Linked DNA regions of Coturnix japonica. The protein of the gene in region 1 interacts with the protein of each later gene in a pairwise test. Links are inferred from orthologs where the notes say so. Each region holds a gene or a part of one and is shown in the gene's direction. Other genes may lie near its edges.

Region 1 (4,309 bases):
TAGAAGGGCGACCACCCCAAACACTGCCCTGCTGTTCCCTGGCTGGTTTCCCTGCTCCCTCCTGCCCTCCTCCCTCTGCACAGCCCCATGTATTTTGTAGCAGATGGATCACTGCTGTTCCCTCTCAGCCCCTCTCGGGGTGTCGAGTGCTGACAGATGGGCAATGCTAAGCAATACCACGCGCTTTTAATAAATCTTACAGCTTAAACCCAAAGGAGTGAGGGAAGATGTGGGGCTGCTTCTCCCCCCTCAGCCTCAGAGCGGTGCTGGGCTCCCAGGGGTGGTTTTCTATTGTCCCTTTGGGGCTTCAGAGCATTTCTCCCTCTACTGTGGGGTCCTTGGGGCCACCAGCAGAGGTGATGACTTTGCACCGAGGCCCCAAAAGCTGCATGGCTGCCTTTGCCCCACAGCCCCTGGTATGTTCTGGCCCCGTTGTCCCATGCAGCGCTCCCCATAGGGGCTGGGGTCACTGCTCTCTGCCCTACTTTGCTCTCCCCTCTGTCTTCTCTCAGGCTGGAAGCTTCTAATTAAAGCTTCTACATTCGTTTGCCTCATTAAGGCGGGGGGGGGGGCTGGCTCTGTGTCCCCGCAGTGACAGCATCTCTGCTTTGATCCCATTGCGTGGGAGCGGGGAGAAAATAAATCCTGGGAGACCACAGTGGGGGCACCCTCTGCCCCATCCCTCCACGTGGATTTGGGGAAGGGAGGGGGGTCCCAAAGGGCTCCCAGTGCAGCAGCAGAGCTGTCCCTGCCCCACTTGGGCTCTCAGCACATAGGGGTTGTGGTTTTGCAGCTCTAGAACCAAACCTGGGGCTGGGGGTGCTGAAGGACGATGCCTGATGCAGGGCTGTGAATGCGGAGGGGGGGGTGTTAAGGGGCTCCCAGTGTTCCTCCCCATTGCTCTGGGCTGGGGCCCGGCCCTTGTTCCCATGCTAGTTGGGTTTTCTCAGCTGTTGGCTGCCATCTAGCTGTCACCTATGGGCTCTGTCCCCCACCCACAGCCACTGAGCTGATCCTGGTCCATCCCCGGGCTGTCCCCATGCCCGTACCCCATTGAGCCCAGCAATGTCCCTGTGCCCGTTGCCCCCACCCTCACCCCGTGCCCATTTCCCGGCGCTGCACAAAGGGATCTCATTGCTGTGCTGGGCACACTGAGACCTTTGAGACAGCTCTGGCACCACTGGGCTGGAATGGGCTCAGGACGTTTCAGCTAATTAAAGCTGGCCTTAATTAGCAGCCTTCCTGCTCTGCCAGGTTCACCCCATAGTGCCCCATGGCATCGCACCCAGGACCTACAGTGCCCCACACACCCACGCTGCCCCATGGGCACTGTGTCCCCGCTCTGCCCCAGCTTTTACCCCCTGCTCTCTGGGCACTGCCAGCACTATTTAGCACACAGGGCTGGCTGCCAGCCCTCAGCCCCCCCCTCCCCCCCGCTGGGTGCCACAAAGCCCAGCTTTGTGCTGCGTGGCCTCCAGCCAATGCCATGGCCATAAAACCCCACCACGGCTCACATCGCACCCACCTTCACCATGGAGAGCCGCTGGTCATCCTACGGCCGCCGCTCCAGCCCCACTGTCTCATCATGGAGCCCCACAGCGCGGCCCCGTCCCCGCAGCGCTCACCCCACACCCCACACATCGAGCAGGATGGATTTCTCTATGGCCAACCTCCTCAACTCGGAGTTCAGGGAGACCCGAACCAACGAGAAGGTGGAGATGATGGAGCTGAACGACCGCTTCGCCAGCTACATTGAGAAGGTCCGGCTGCTGGAGCAGCGCAATAAGGTGCTGGTGCTGGAGCTGAACCGGGTGCGGGAGCAGGAGCCGACCCGTCTGGCTGACGTGTACCAGGAGGAGCTGCGGGAGCTGCGGCGCCGCGTGGAGCTGCTGGGCACCGCCAAGGCCCGCGCCGAGGTGCAGAGGGACGGCCTGGCTGAGGAGCTGGGGAGCCTGCGGGACAAGTATGGGGGGGTCCTGCAATGGGGGATTGGGGGGTGGGGATTGAGGTGGCCAACAGGACAAGGATGGGGACCAGTTTGGTGGTGGGGAACAGAGCGGTGATGAGGATTGAGGAGGTGGTGGGGATTAAGGCAGACACTGTAACCAGGGGGGATAACGATGGGGACTGGGGTGGCCAATGGGACCAGGATGGGGACCTGCGTGGTGATGGGTGATGGGATGAGCAGCAGGGCCGGAGTGGAAACAGGGAGCAGGGTGGCCACAAGGATCATGGTGGATGACAGGGACTGGATCAAGGTTGAGAATGGGGACCAAGGTGTTAATGGGGATTTAGGTGGTACTGGGGATCAGAGTGGCCACCACAACCAGGATGAGGACCAGGATGGTGATGAGGACCGGTGTGCCCACCATGACAATAGTGATCCCAGGGACAAAGTTGTCTACTGGAACAAGTATTGGGGAGCCCAGCAGCACTAACAAGGTCATCAGGACCAGGATAATAACTAGGGTAGTGATGGGGACCAAAGCAGCCAGCAGAACTAAGAAATGGCTACTGGGATGGTATAAGTGCAGTGGGGTTGCACTAGGGGGGTCTGTCTATGGGGCTGAGCTGCACGTGGCCACCATGAGTAATGAGGCACTGTGCCTAACGAGTAATGGCACCTAATAAGTAATGCGTCACTGCTCTGTTGAAGGCTGCAGCAGGAGGTCACCCTGCGGCTGGAGGCTGAGAGCACCCTGGCTGCATACCGGCAGGTGAGGGTAGGGGATGGGATGGGGAGTGGGGGCCAGTCCTCCTCTCCTGGGCTCTGTGGACAGGGCTGGAATGGGATGGGATGGGATGGAGGGATGGGCAGGGATGGGGGCACAGACCCCCATGCCCACCCTGGGTACGATCCCTCCATGTCACCTGGTGGCAGGATGTTGATGCTGCTGCCCTGGCTCGCCTCGACCTGGAGCGTCGCGTGGGGACCCTGCAGGACGAGGTGGCCTTCCTGCAGAAGGTGCACGAGGAGGTAACGCTGCTGTGATGTGGGGCTCTGGGGGTGGATCCCATGGCTGTGCTGACCCCGCTTCCCTGCAGGAGCTGCGGGAGCTGCAGGAGCAGCTGGCCCAGCACCGGGTGCACGTGGAGGTGGACGCCAGCAAGCCAGACCTGACGGCAGCGCTGCGTGACATCCGCACTCAGTACGAGTCCATCACCGTCACTAACCTGCAGGAGGCCGAGGAGTGGTACAAATCCAAGGTGCGGGTGGCACCTTGTCCCCATATATCACCCCCATGGGTTGGGCTGGCTGCTCCTGTGGCTGGGTGGCTCTATGGGGCAGTGGCACTGGAGAGCTGACCCTACGGTGCGTCCCTTCCAGTTTGCAGACCTGACGGATGCAGCTGCCCGCCATGCAGAGGCCCTGCGTGCGGCCAAGCATGAGGCCAACGAGTACCGGCGGCAGCTCCAGGCCCTCACCTGTGACCTGGAGGCTCTGCGGGGCTCGGTAGGTGCCACCCATGGGGCATGAGGTGGGACGCATCCTTGGGTCGTGCCACCATGGGTGGGTGCCCATGGAGGGAGGTGGCATCGAGGGCATCACATCCCACAATGGTCACCAGAACGAGTCCCTGGAGCGGCAGCTGCGGGAGCTGGAGGAGCGCTACGCGCTGGAGACGTCCGCCTACCAGGACACAGTGGGGCGGCTGGAGGAGGACATCCGCGGCCTGAAGGAGGAGATGGCCCGGCAGCTGCGGGAGTACCAGGAGCTGATGAACGTCAAGCTGGCCCTGGACATTGAGATTGCGACCTACAGGAAGCTGCTGGAGGGCGAGGAGAGCAGGTGATGGACCCCCCTGTCCTGAACTATCTCGGGGCCTTTTTGGTGCTGCTGGGTCTGGTGAGCACCCTGCAGCCCTCCTGCTCACACATGGGGACCCAGTGCTCTCCCCAACGTTCCCATTGCTCCCGCAGGATCACCGTCCCTGTGCAGAGCTTCTCCAACCTGCAGATCCGAGGTGAGGCTGCGGCTGTGTGGGATGGGGGCAGGGGGGGCTGCCAGGTCTCTGTGCCTGAAGGGTCCCCCACAGTCCCAAGATATAGAGGGGATGAGCACGATGCCATGGCCACGTCCCCAGTGCCGACCATTCCCCAAGGGTCAACCCTGTTGCTGAGGCCAATGATGTCTCTAAGGCCAACCTCAACAATGAGGGTAATTGTGTTCTGAGTGCCAACTGTGCGCCCATCACCAGCTGTGTCCCCAGTACTGCCCTCATACTCAGTGTTGACCACAGCTCAGTGCCCACCATTCCCCCAAGCACGATGCTGTCCCTAAGGCCAACCACATCTCAAAGCAACCCAT
Region 2 (4,225 bases), on another chromosome or scaffold:
TACACCAGTGTTTGGCTGTTGCTGAGCAATGGAAAAAGCTGGTGGAGAAGAACAGGTGCCATAATGATGCTGGGCAAGATGTGGAGCTCAGCACAGACTGAGCCAGACCACCTGTAAGCTGCAGGAGCAGCAGGATCTAAAACCAAAATCATAAACTAATGGACTGGGGAACTAAGACCAAATGCTAAGCCTGTCCTTGTGGCTCCTCATTAGAGCATCGCCTTATTCTCTGCCAAGTAAAGAATAAAATCCCATCTGCTTGAATAGCGTGTTCAGCAGAAACGAGCCCGTTTTAAAACTTCCAGCACCCACCACCTAACTATGCTGAGACACACTGACAAGCAAAGGCTCTTGAGGACTAAACTGCTATGTCCAAAGTGTTTGGTGGTGATACTGCTATTTTTTCTAAATGTGAGAAAGGGAAAGCATTCAAAATATTACACAACTTGACCCAAACAGCTTTCCTTGGATTTCTTAATGTCATTTATTTTTCTCATCAAATCTAGACCAAATCCTGTCTAACCAATTCCCTGCCTCTAACAAAGCCTGCTACCTTAAAGTTTGCCTTAGTCATGCGATGGAAGATTTTCATACTGTTTTCCACAATGCAAATAGTACAAGTTAAGAGACATTACTGTTTCTCTTTATTACTCCACCTCCTGGGGCAAGGAAATCTGAAAGATGATCTGACATATTCACTGACATGATAAAACACTTTTATGACAAAAGAAAAAAAAAAGCCCTCAGGTCCCTGTAAAGAGGCCACATAAGTCTACATCCCCTGTGCAAAACCATGTAGTTCTGCTCCTCAGGGGACAAGCTGCTGCCCATTCGGTGCCATAATAGGGCTGTGGTAGCCCAATTACTGGGCCCACACTTGGATGCAATTGCTGTTATGGGTTCTTCCTCATGAGTCTTGAAGAGACCTGAAAATGAGCCCAGAACTAAGACTGGGAAAAAGCCTGGGAAAGCAGGGCAAAGGCAACAGAAACCTCCATCTTGGCAGCAGTGGAGGACACACACAACCACCAAATGCCCCTTTCCAGCCTCCTACCTGATCCATTGGGCCCAATTATACAGTTGAACCTCATGAAGGGGCCAATAAGCTGCTCCCCACGCCAGGACTTGAAGTCCTTCACCATCAGCAGCTTCAGGTAGCCCATCCCTTGGGCAGTGGGTGCAGAGGCCATTCCCCCCTTCCAACTTCGGCCACACACAAAATTCAAACCACCAGGTATTTTTTTTAATGGCTTGTCTTCCAGAAGGAGACACGAAGGGAAAGAAACCCCACAGCAGGAGGCCTCCAGACGACGGCAAAGCTGACACCCCTCCAAGCTCAGCCTCGCCCCTTAGCGGCCGACATAGAAGGCCGCAGCCTGCCTCGTGCTCCCTGCCCCGCCTGATTGGCCACCAGGCGCTGGGAGGGGGCGGGAGCTCATTGCCATGGCGATGCGGTGTGTTGTGCTTTGGTAGCCATCGTCGCCGCTTGTGCTCCTTGCCGGCGCCATGAGCGGGCTGACGGTGCAGCAGCGGGAGCTGCAGGAGGCGGCCGCTCTGGAGCGGCGGCGGCAGCGGGAGCTGCAGCGTCAGGGCCGCATCTTTAACGTGCGAGTTCGGACCATCGGGGTGAGGCGCTGCCGAAGCCTCCTTTGCGGGTCGGGGCGCGGTTGGAGCCTGCCCGGCTGTGGAGCCGAGTAGATTTGAGTCGGTCTGGCTCCGGGGAGGGGAGGGAAGAGGCAGCAAACACCCCGAATTTGTGTTTGGGTATCAGGAAATCAAGTGGTACTTTGTAGTTATCTAAATAGCCGTGAAGATTCTGTACTTGTGGTAGTTAATTTTCCCTTACTGTGCCTGAAATCTCATGTTAACATTCTGGATGCGTGTGTTGTGAGGTGAAATAAGTTTAGATGTTGCTGCTAAGTTGCTTTTCAGGGCTCTGTTGCAATAACTAGCTTATAATCAAAGTTAGAAGCTCACTTAGTGGAAAGAACCTAGCTTATAATCGAAGTTAGGAGCTCGCATAGTGGAAAGAAATGAGCCCAGTGTGTTAACTTCACTGTGCAGGTAGGGTTGCAGCAGGTGACAGTCTGATCTAAGTGATCTCAGGTAATGAAGCATCTCACATGTCAGCAGAAGGATCCGTTTGCCTTGGAATTGCTCTTGTGACCTCTGTGCAGCAGTCAGTTATATAGTAAAATAGCAATTCCTGCAAGGAACTCAACAGGCTGGTACAGCATCCTGACGCATGGTAGCCAATGGTACAGTCAAGTGGTAGGAGCTAATAATGTGTTTTAACAAAAAGTTGGGTGGGCACAGTAAGAAAGTTCAACTTTCTTTGCCAGGAAACACACTTTCTCTGTTAGATGCCTTTTCTTGGGCCTTAAAAATTAAATGTAAAATGCCATTTCTCACTTAGGGAAGATCATTGGATCTCAGTGTACTTTACTGAGCAGTGCTGATTTACACCATATCTGGAGGTCTTTCCCAAATACTGTTGTAGGACGACCGTTGGACAGGTTTTAATAGCTCCATTTACACGAGACAAACATCTAAAGTGAAAGTATTGGAAGAATTCTGTGAGTATCTTGATGAACATCATTTAATAATACCATATTTGTTGGCTGAGCAAGAAGTGCTTACAGAAGGGACTGTTCTTGCTGTTTGCAATTAAGCCACATCCAAAACAGGTGAAGTCAACAAAGCTATACAGGTATATAGTATATCTCTATTTCCTCTATAAGAGGTTTTAGATTCTTTGTTTTCTCATTCTCTCACTAATTTATCTGAGTGATTGTCTGCAACAATTCAAAAATGAAGGCAATATTTGACAGCTTAAAAATATTTGAACTGGGGATTGAGTAGTTTTTAACATGTGGGGATAAAATACTGATGGATGCATTCACATTAACAGTATTTTGGAGGGCCCTCTGCTTTCTGCCCTGGTGAAAAAGAACACAGCGTAAAATCTGTATTTTATAAAGGTTTGCTTCCCCAGAGTGGGTTGGCCTTTTTTAATGCAATGAGAATTGCATGTGTGACAGAGGTAAATGCTCCATAGCTATTGCACTTCTCATCCTCTGGTGTGCATGGTTATAAGTGTGAGGGGCAACAGGGAAGTCATCTGAGGGGGGAAAAAAAAACAAACAGCAAGAACTGGAAGAAATCAGGAAAGCAAAGCAGGGGGGTAGTGATTGAAAGTGAAGCAAATGGTCAACTTACATCTCTTTTATTGTTATAGAAATGAGACAGAATAGTTTGAGTAACGTGTAGATGTGGCACTGAGAGGCATGTGTGGTAGGTGGACAGTTGGAATAGTTGGAATAGATAATCTTAGGTCTTTACCAAGCTTAGTGATTCTATGATTCTAATAGGCAGAGACTATTAAAATACTTTATCAGGCTCTTGAAGAATTGTCAGTAGTTTTTTTTTATGTCTTACAATGACATCCAGTGACTTAGCCAGTAACAGCTGGTGTGTTGTTGTTATTACTCTTTGTTTTGTTTTGTTTTAATAGGTTGATAAAGATGCATTGGATGCCCAGGTCAAGGATAGAAAATTTCAAGAAGCAACTGAAAAAGCACGAAATGAAGAATTTGGTATATTCATAGATAGTCTAATGTTTGTATAAAGTTGAATGTAAATAGATTTGTCCTGTATTTCATTCCTTTTTCTTTTCATACACGTCCAGCCTACTGGTTTTGTTTTTGTTGCGTTATTTTTTAACGTTTTAATAAAAAAAAATAAAAAAATAATGTTTTTGTTGCTTGTATGTATTAACTATATTATATATTTATATATATGGCCAAATATAATTCATTTTCATTCAGTGCAGCCCAGCAAACCAAAAGGTTGGACACCCATGTATTTTCAAATGAAATCTATCTCCTCAAATATCAGTTCTGTATATCTATGTATTTCTAGGTGCATGTGCAATTAGGCTTCTGTCTAAATTCAGACTTACAAACTGAATCCTTTGTGTATCCCTATTTATGTTTGCATTGGTAGAATGTGTTTTCCTTATTATCACAGGGATTCATTCATATTGTCATGGGTAAAATGGTATGTATTTCTGAATAGATTTCAATCTTCTGTGTTTTCTTTTAATAAATCACGATAAATAGCATTGTTAGAGACCTGAAAATATAGGATCATTTAGAAAAATAATTATTATTTTTCAAGCAGAAGTGGCAAACTTATTTTACTGCTGTCTTTCAACATAAGTTTA
Region 3 (3,990 bases), on another chromosome or scaffold:
TGCATGACTTAATGCTGAGCATGATGCCAAATGGCACAGAATATCCCTTCAGTCTGTCTGGGTCAGCTGTCTCTGGTCTGTTCTTCCCCAACATCTTGTTCACATCCACTCTACTCACCTGGGGGCAGGAGAAGAGGGATGGAGAGACAGTCTTGGTAGTTCGCACACTGTTCAATGACAGCCAAATCCCTGGTGTGATTTGTTTCAGACACAAATGCAAACAACAGCACTGCACAGGCTGCCACGAGGAAAGTTAGCTCTGTCCCAGGCAGACTCAGTATAACCTTATCCCCTTATTCCATATCATTTGCGCCATTCTTAGGTTCCATGTTATCTAATGCATCTAAATACCCGCTGGACTTTTGTCCCATTCATCAAGGCCATCACTCAGGACAGGGGGAGCAGAATGTTGGATCACTGGGCACCAACACCAGCTTGAGGTGGGTCATTGTATTCACATACTTCCATGTGAAACTCACTCCCTTTTAGTTCAGGTGGTTTCTGCTGTATTACTTCCTGTATTGTACAAGTCAAATTGTGCAACGTATAGATCTCTTTGAGGTACATAACAAATTTGCTCATCCTTCCACACTGACCACCAATTACACTTTGATCTTTGAGCAAAGACAATTCTGCAAGTGGGTCATCCCTTTCCAAAAAGAAACTGTCTTTCTCAACAACTTCCCTACATGCACTGTAGGGACTTTGTGTCCTTTCATTGATTGCAATGCATGTTTCACATCTGCAGGTGGCCTGTGGGATGTTCTCAATCATCAGGTCTACCCCTCAATCACAACCACTTGGCACATTGCATCTCTCCCAATTACTGTCATTATTTCAGATTCCTCACACTTCCACAAGCCATCCAGCTGAGGAGGGGAATGAGAGAATAGATAGGTGGGCATCTAACTGCTGGCCAAGATTAACCCATCACAACCCTATGTTTGGCACCCTACATGGAGTGCACGGGTTTGAATTGGGAACCTCTCGATCTGCAATCAAACACTAACTAGTCATCGTCAGCACATGACAATCCAAACACATTCCTTTAGGACACTACTTATAGCTGAAGAAGGTTCTTGCACAGAGCAAAGATCACCTTCTTGACTGAGTTTTTTTGAGTATAATTATCAGTAGAACAGAATTCAAAGCTGATGAGGAATACATGTGATCTGCACTTCTGCAGGCAAGGACAAGGCAGCTTATCAAGGCATCGAGCATATTCAGTGAAACTTGGTTAAATAAATCATCTTTTAAATCAACCTTTGCCCAATCAAAGTCCAGTCCTACCTATAGGTACAGCTACAGGAGGGACAGCAAGAGAGGATTCCTGCAAAGGCTGCTTCACACAGATATACAGGTAAGTTATTCCTTTTTTTTGCTATATAAAACTGTGTTTTAGGAGTCTGATAATCTTGCATATAAAGTTTTCATGAAGTGAAAAGTTGTTTGCAGCCCACTATGGTCTTCCCTCCATTTCTACATATGAAGAGATAATCTGTCCTGTAAAAGCTTACTGTTCCTTCAGCTTTGTTTACTGCTGGTTTTCTGTAAACATCAGGAGTTAACCAAATTTCCCAGTGTTTGTCGAGAAAAGCTGCTCCGAGTTCTAGTTGAGATCAGTACAATGTCTAAACAATAGTGCAGGACATCCCTATGTGAAGTTATTCTTGATGCCACTATACTTAGACTCCAAAAACCACTAAGTACCTCACCAACGGGAATAAGAAACTCAGAACCCACAGCCTGCCTATCCATACATGCTGAAATGTTCCATCTTCTCCAGCTTCAGTGACATCCCTGCCAACTCCCCACTCCTCACCCATACTTTTCTATAAGCTGACTAACTAACCTTAACAACACAGTTTTAGCTTCCATAACAAATACTCTATATTTTCATGAGTAGCCAGATGTACTTCAGCAGTAGGCTGCTATCAAGAACGTGGAGAGATTTGACCACTGGCTACTTCTAAAAACAAGTAAAAGAAAAGGTCAGTTTTCACACACATAAGTTACGTGAGTGATATACAGAAACAGAAAAAAGAAAGAACTGTAAAGAGTTCATGCAGGCAGATGAAATTTTTTAGTATTTATTAGGCTGAGACTAATGGCCAACCTCTGCAACAGATCTTTGGGCTTTTCACAAACTTCTAACAGGAGCGAGAAAAAAAAACAATCAATCCAGTAAGACACACATCAAGTGTGGTAATTACCTGGATGGAGAAAGTTGCCATCATTTATCTTATTTCTTATGTCATAGTGGATCTTTGGCAGGAGTTCCTAAGACAACAAGATAGCGAACTTTGGAATTGCTCCTTGATCATAACTACTGCTTACTTTCTGAACATAATGTCTCTCTTACTGATAATGAGCTACACGAGACAATTTCATTGTATCATAAAAATATAGAATATTTTAGCTTGGAAGGAACTTCTGGAGCTCATCTGGTCCAATAGCTCATGCTAAACCAAGCCAACTTAGACCAAGTTTATCAGGGTCTCATCCAGGTAAGCACCTCCAAGGATGGAGATTCCACAGCCACTCTAGGTTCTTGTTCAAGTATCTGAAAGCACCAGAGATTAAAAAGCTGACCTTACCTCTCTCTAATTAGACTTCCCCTCACTGCGACCAGTATCTGTTGCCTCTCATCAGTATTAACATCCAAGAATAATAAGGATCTGTGTTTTCTACACCATCCGATTAGGCACTTGAAAATGCAAATAAGAACTTTCATTTACTTTCTTTTCCCAAGACTGAACAAACTCAGCTCTCTCAAACCCTCTTCAAACAAGTTGCGCTCCAAAACCTAACCCACCCCAGTGGATTAGTTTCAGTATGTCAGTGACACAGAGAGCTCAAAACAGCAGTCACGCATAGCCTTACAAGTGCCAAACAGCAGGGAACAATCCCTTCATTGACTTGCTAGATACATTCAGATATAGCCCACTATCCAGTTGATCTTCACTGCAAAGCTACACCAACTGATGTGAAGTTTTGCAGGACAACACGTAAGTGCACAAACTGACCAGCCAGCCTGTGCTGTCGTTATGCATGGTTTAGATATAGATTTTTTTCCACTTTTCTCTGTTAAATGTTTCGATATTTCTGACAGCTCCTCTCTCCAGCCTGTTGAGGTCTCTCTAAATAGCATCCCTAACCACCATCCTATTGACTGCTCCCCTCTGTTTAATATTATCCATCACGTTTGTTGAGGATATATTCTGCTGCACTGACCATGTCATAAATAAAAATGTTAAACAGTATCTATCAGTACCAGTACCAACCCTAAACATTGTCAATAAAAAGCAGCCAACAGCTGGATTAAGTGCCACCAATAAAAACCCTCTGAACCTAATGGCTCAGCCAATCTTCTGCCCACCTACAGAATCTGCTTATTCAGTCCATATGTCAACAAGTCATCCACACTTACTGTACAAGAGACCCTCTCAAAGGTATTGCAATAGTTAAAGAGTACATCGTTCATCGTTCTATGCCTGTCACAGAGCCAGTCCATTCATCTTGGAGTTAGCAGGTAAAAAGGATTCATTTAATCTCCCTTTGCACAGCTGGATTTCCCAGGAACCCAAACCTTAAGGATTCTGAAGCAAACTGTCTCAGCTTGCTTTTTTTTTTTTTTTTTAAACTCACAATTAGTTTTTCCATCCTGTTTCGTAGAGATGACTTCTGTTCTCCAGCCACGAGAGTGCAAAGTGACCAAGAAAAGCAAGAAGAGCTATGGATTTTTCCTGCGTGTGGAGAAAGACACAGCAGGACATCTCATCCGGAATGTGGAAAAGAACAGCCCTGCTGAAAAGGCTGGCTTGAAGGATGGAGACAGAGTCCTCAGGGTTAATGGTGTGTTTGTAGACAAGGAGGAACATGCAAAGGTACAAATCTGTTTAGTCTGGAGGCTACATCACCTCCCATGATCCAGACCCGCTGTCACTATTGGAAGCTTTCTCTTCCATTTCTATGGTGGAAAAGTCCGAG

The links. The genes of interacting proteins can lie anywhere in the genome.
Region 2: the proteins of GFAP (region 1) and RIBC2 interact in a two-hybrid assay, tested with the Homo sapiens proteins (2 studies listed by BioGRID and IntAct). The two-hybrid records come from large-scale screens. The link is inferred for Coturnix japonica from reciprocal best matches to the Homo sapiens genes GFAP and RIBC2.
Region 3: the proteins of GFAP (region 1) and PDZK1 interact in binary tests that used the Homo sapiens proteins (3 or more experiments, as listed by UniProt). The link is inferred for Coturnix japonica from reciprocal best matches to the Homo sapiens genes GFAP and PDZK1.

Annotation. Positions count from the first base shown.
Region 1 is NC_029542.1:787,762-792,070, reverse strand, and holds the start of GFAP (glial fibrillary acidic protein), read left to right. Parts: upstream 1-1,500; 5' UTR 1,501-1,532; coding exon 1,533-1,963; intron 1,964-2,656; coding exon 2,657-2,717; intron 2,718-2,881; coding exon 2,882-2,977; intron 2,978-3,045; coding exon 3,046-3,207; intron 3,208-3,328; coding exon 3,329-3,454; intron 3,455-3,569; coding exon 3,570-3,790; intron 3,791-3,921; coding exon 3,922-3,965; intron 3,966-4,309.
Region 2 is NC_029516.1:64,767,072-64,771,296, forward strand, and holds the start of RIBC2 (RIB43A-like with coiled-coils protein 2), read left to right. Parts: upstream 1-1,415; 5' UTR 1,416-1,506; coding exon 1,507-1,626; intron 1,627-3,514; coding exon 3,515-3,596; intron 3,597-4,225. Other genes in the region: SMC1B (structural maintenance of chromosomes protein 1B), read right to left, coding at 1,055-1,190. UniProt on the Homo sapiens protein: Microtubule inner protein (MIP) part of the dynein-decorated doublet microtubules (DMTs) in cilia axoneme, which is required for motile cilia beating.
Region 3 is NC_029516.1:83,006,927-83,010,916, reverse strand, and holds the start of PDZK1 (Na(+)/H(+) exchange regulatory cofactor NHE-RF3), read left to right. Parts: upstream 1-1,180; 5' UTR 1,181-1,360; intron 1,361-3,675; 5' UTR 3,676-3,677; coding exon 3,678-3,887; intron 3,888-3,990. UniProt on the Homo sapiens protein: A scaffold protein that connects plasma membrane proteins and regulatory components, regulating their surface expression in epithelial cells apical domains.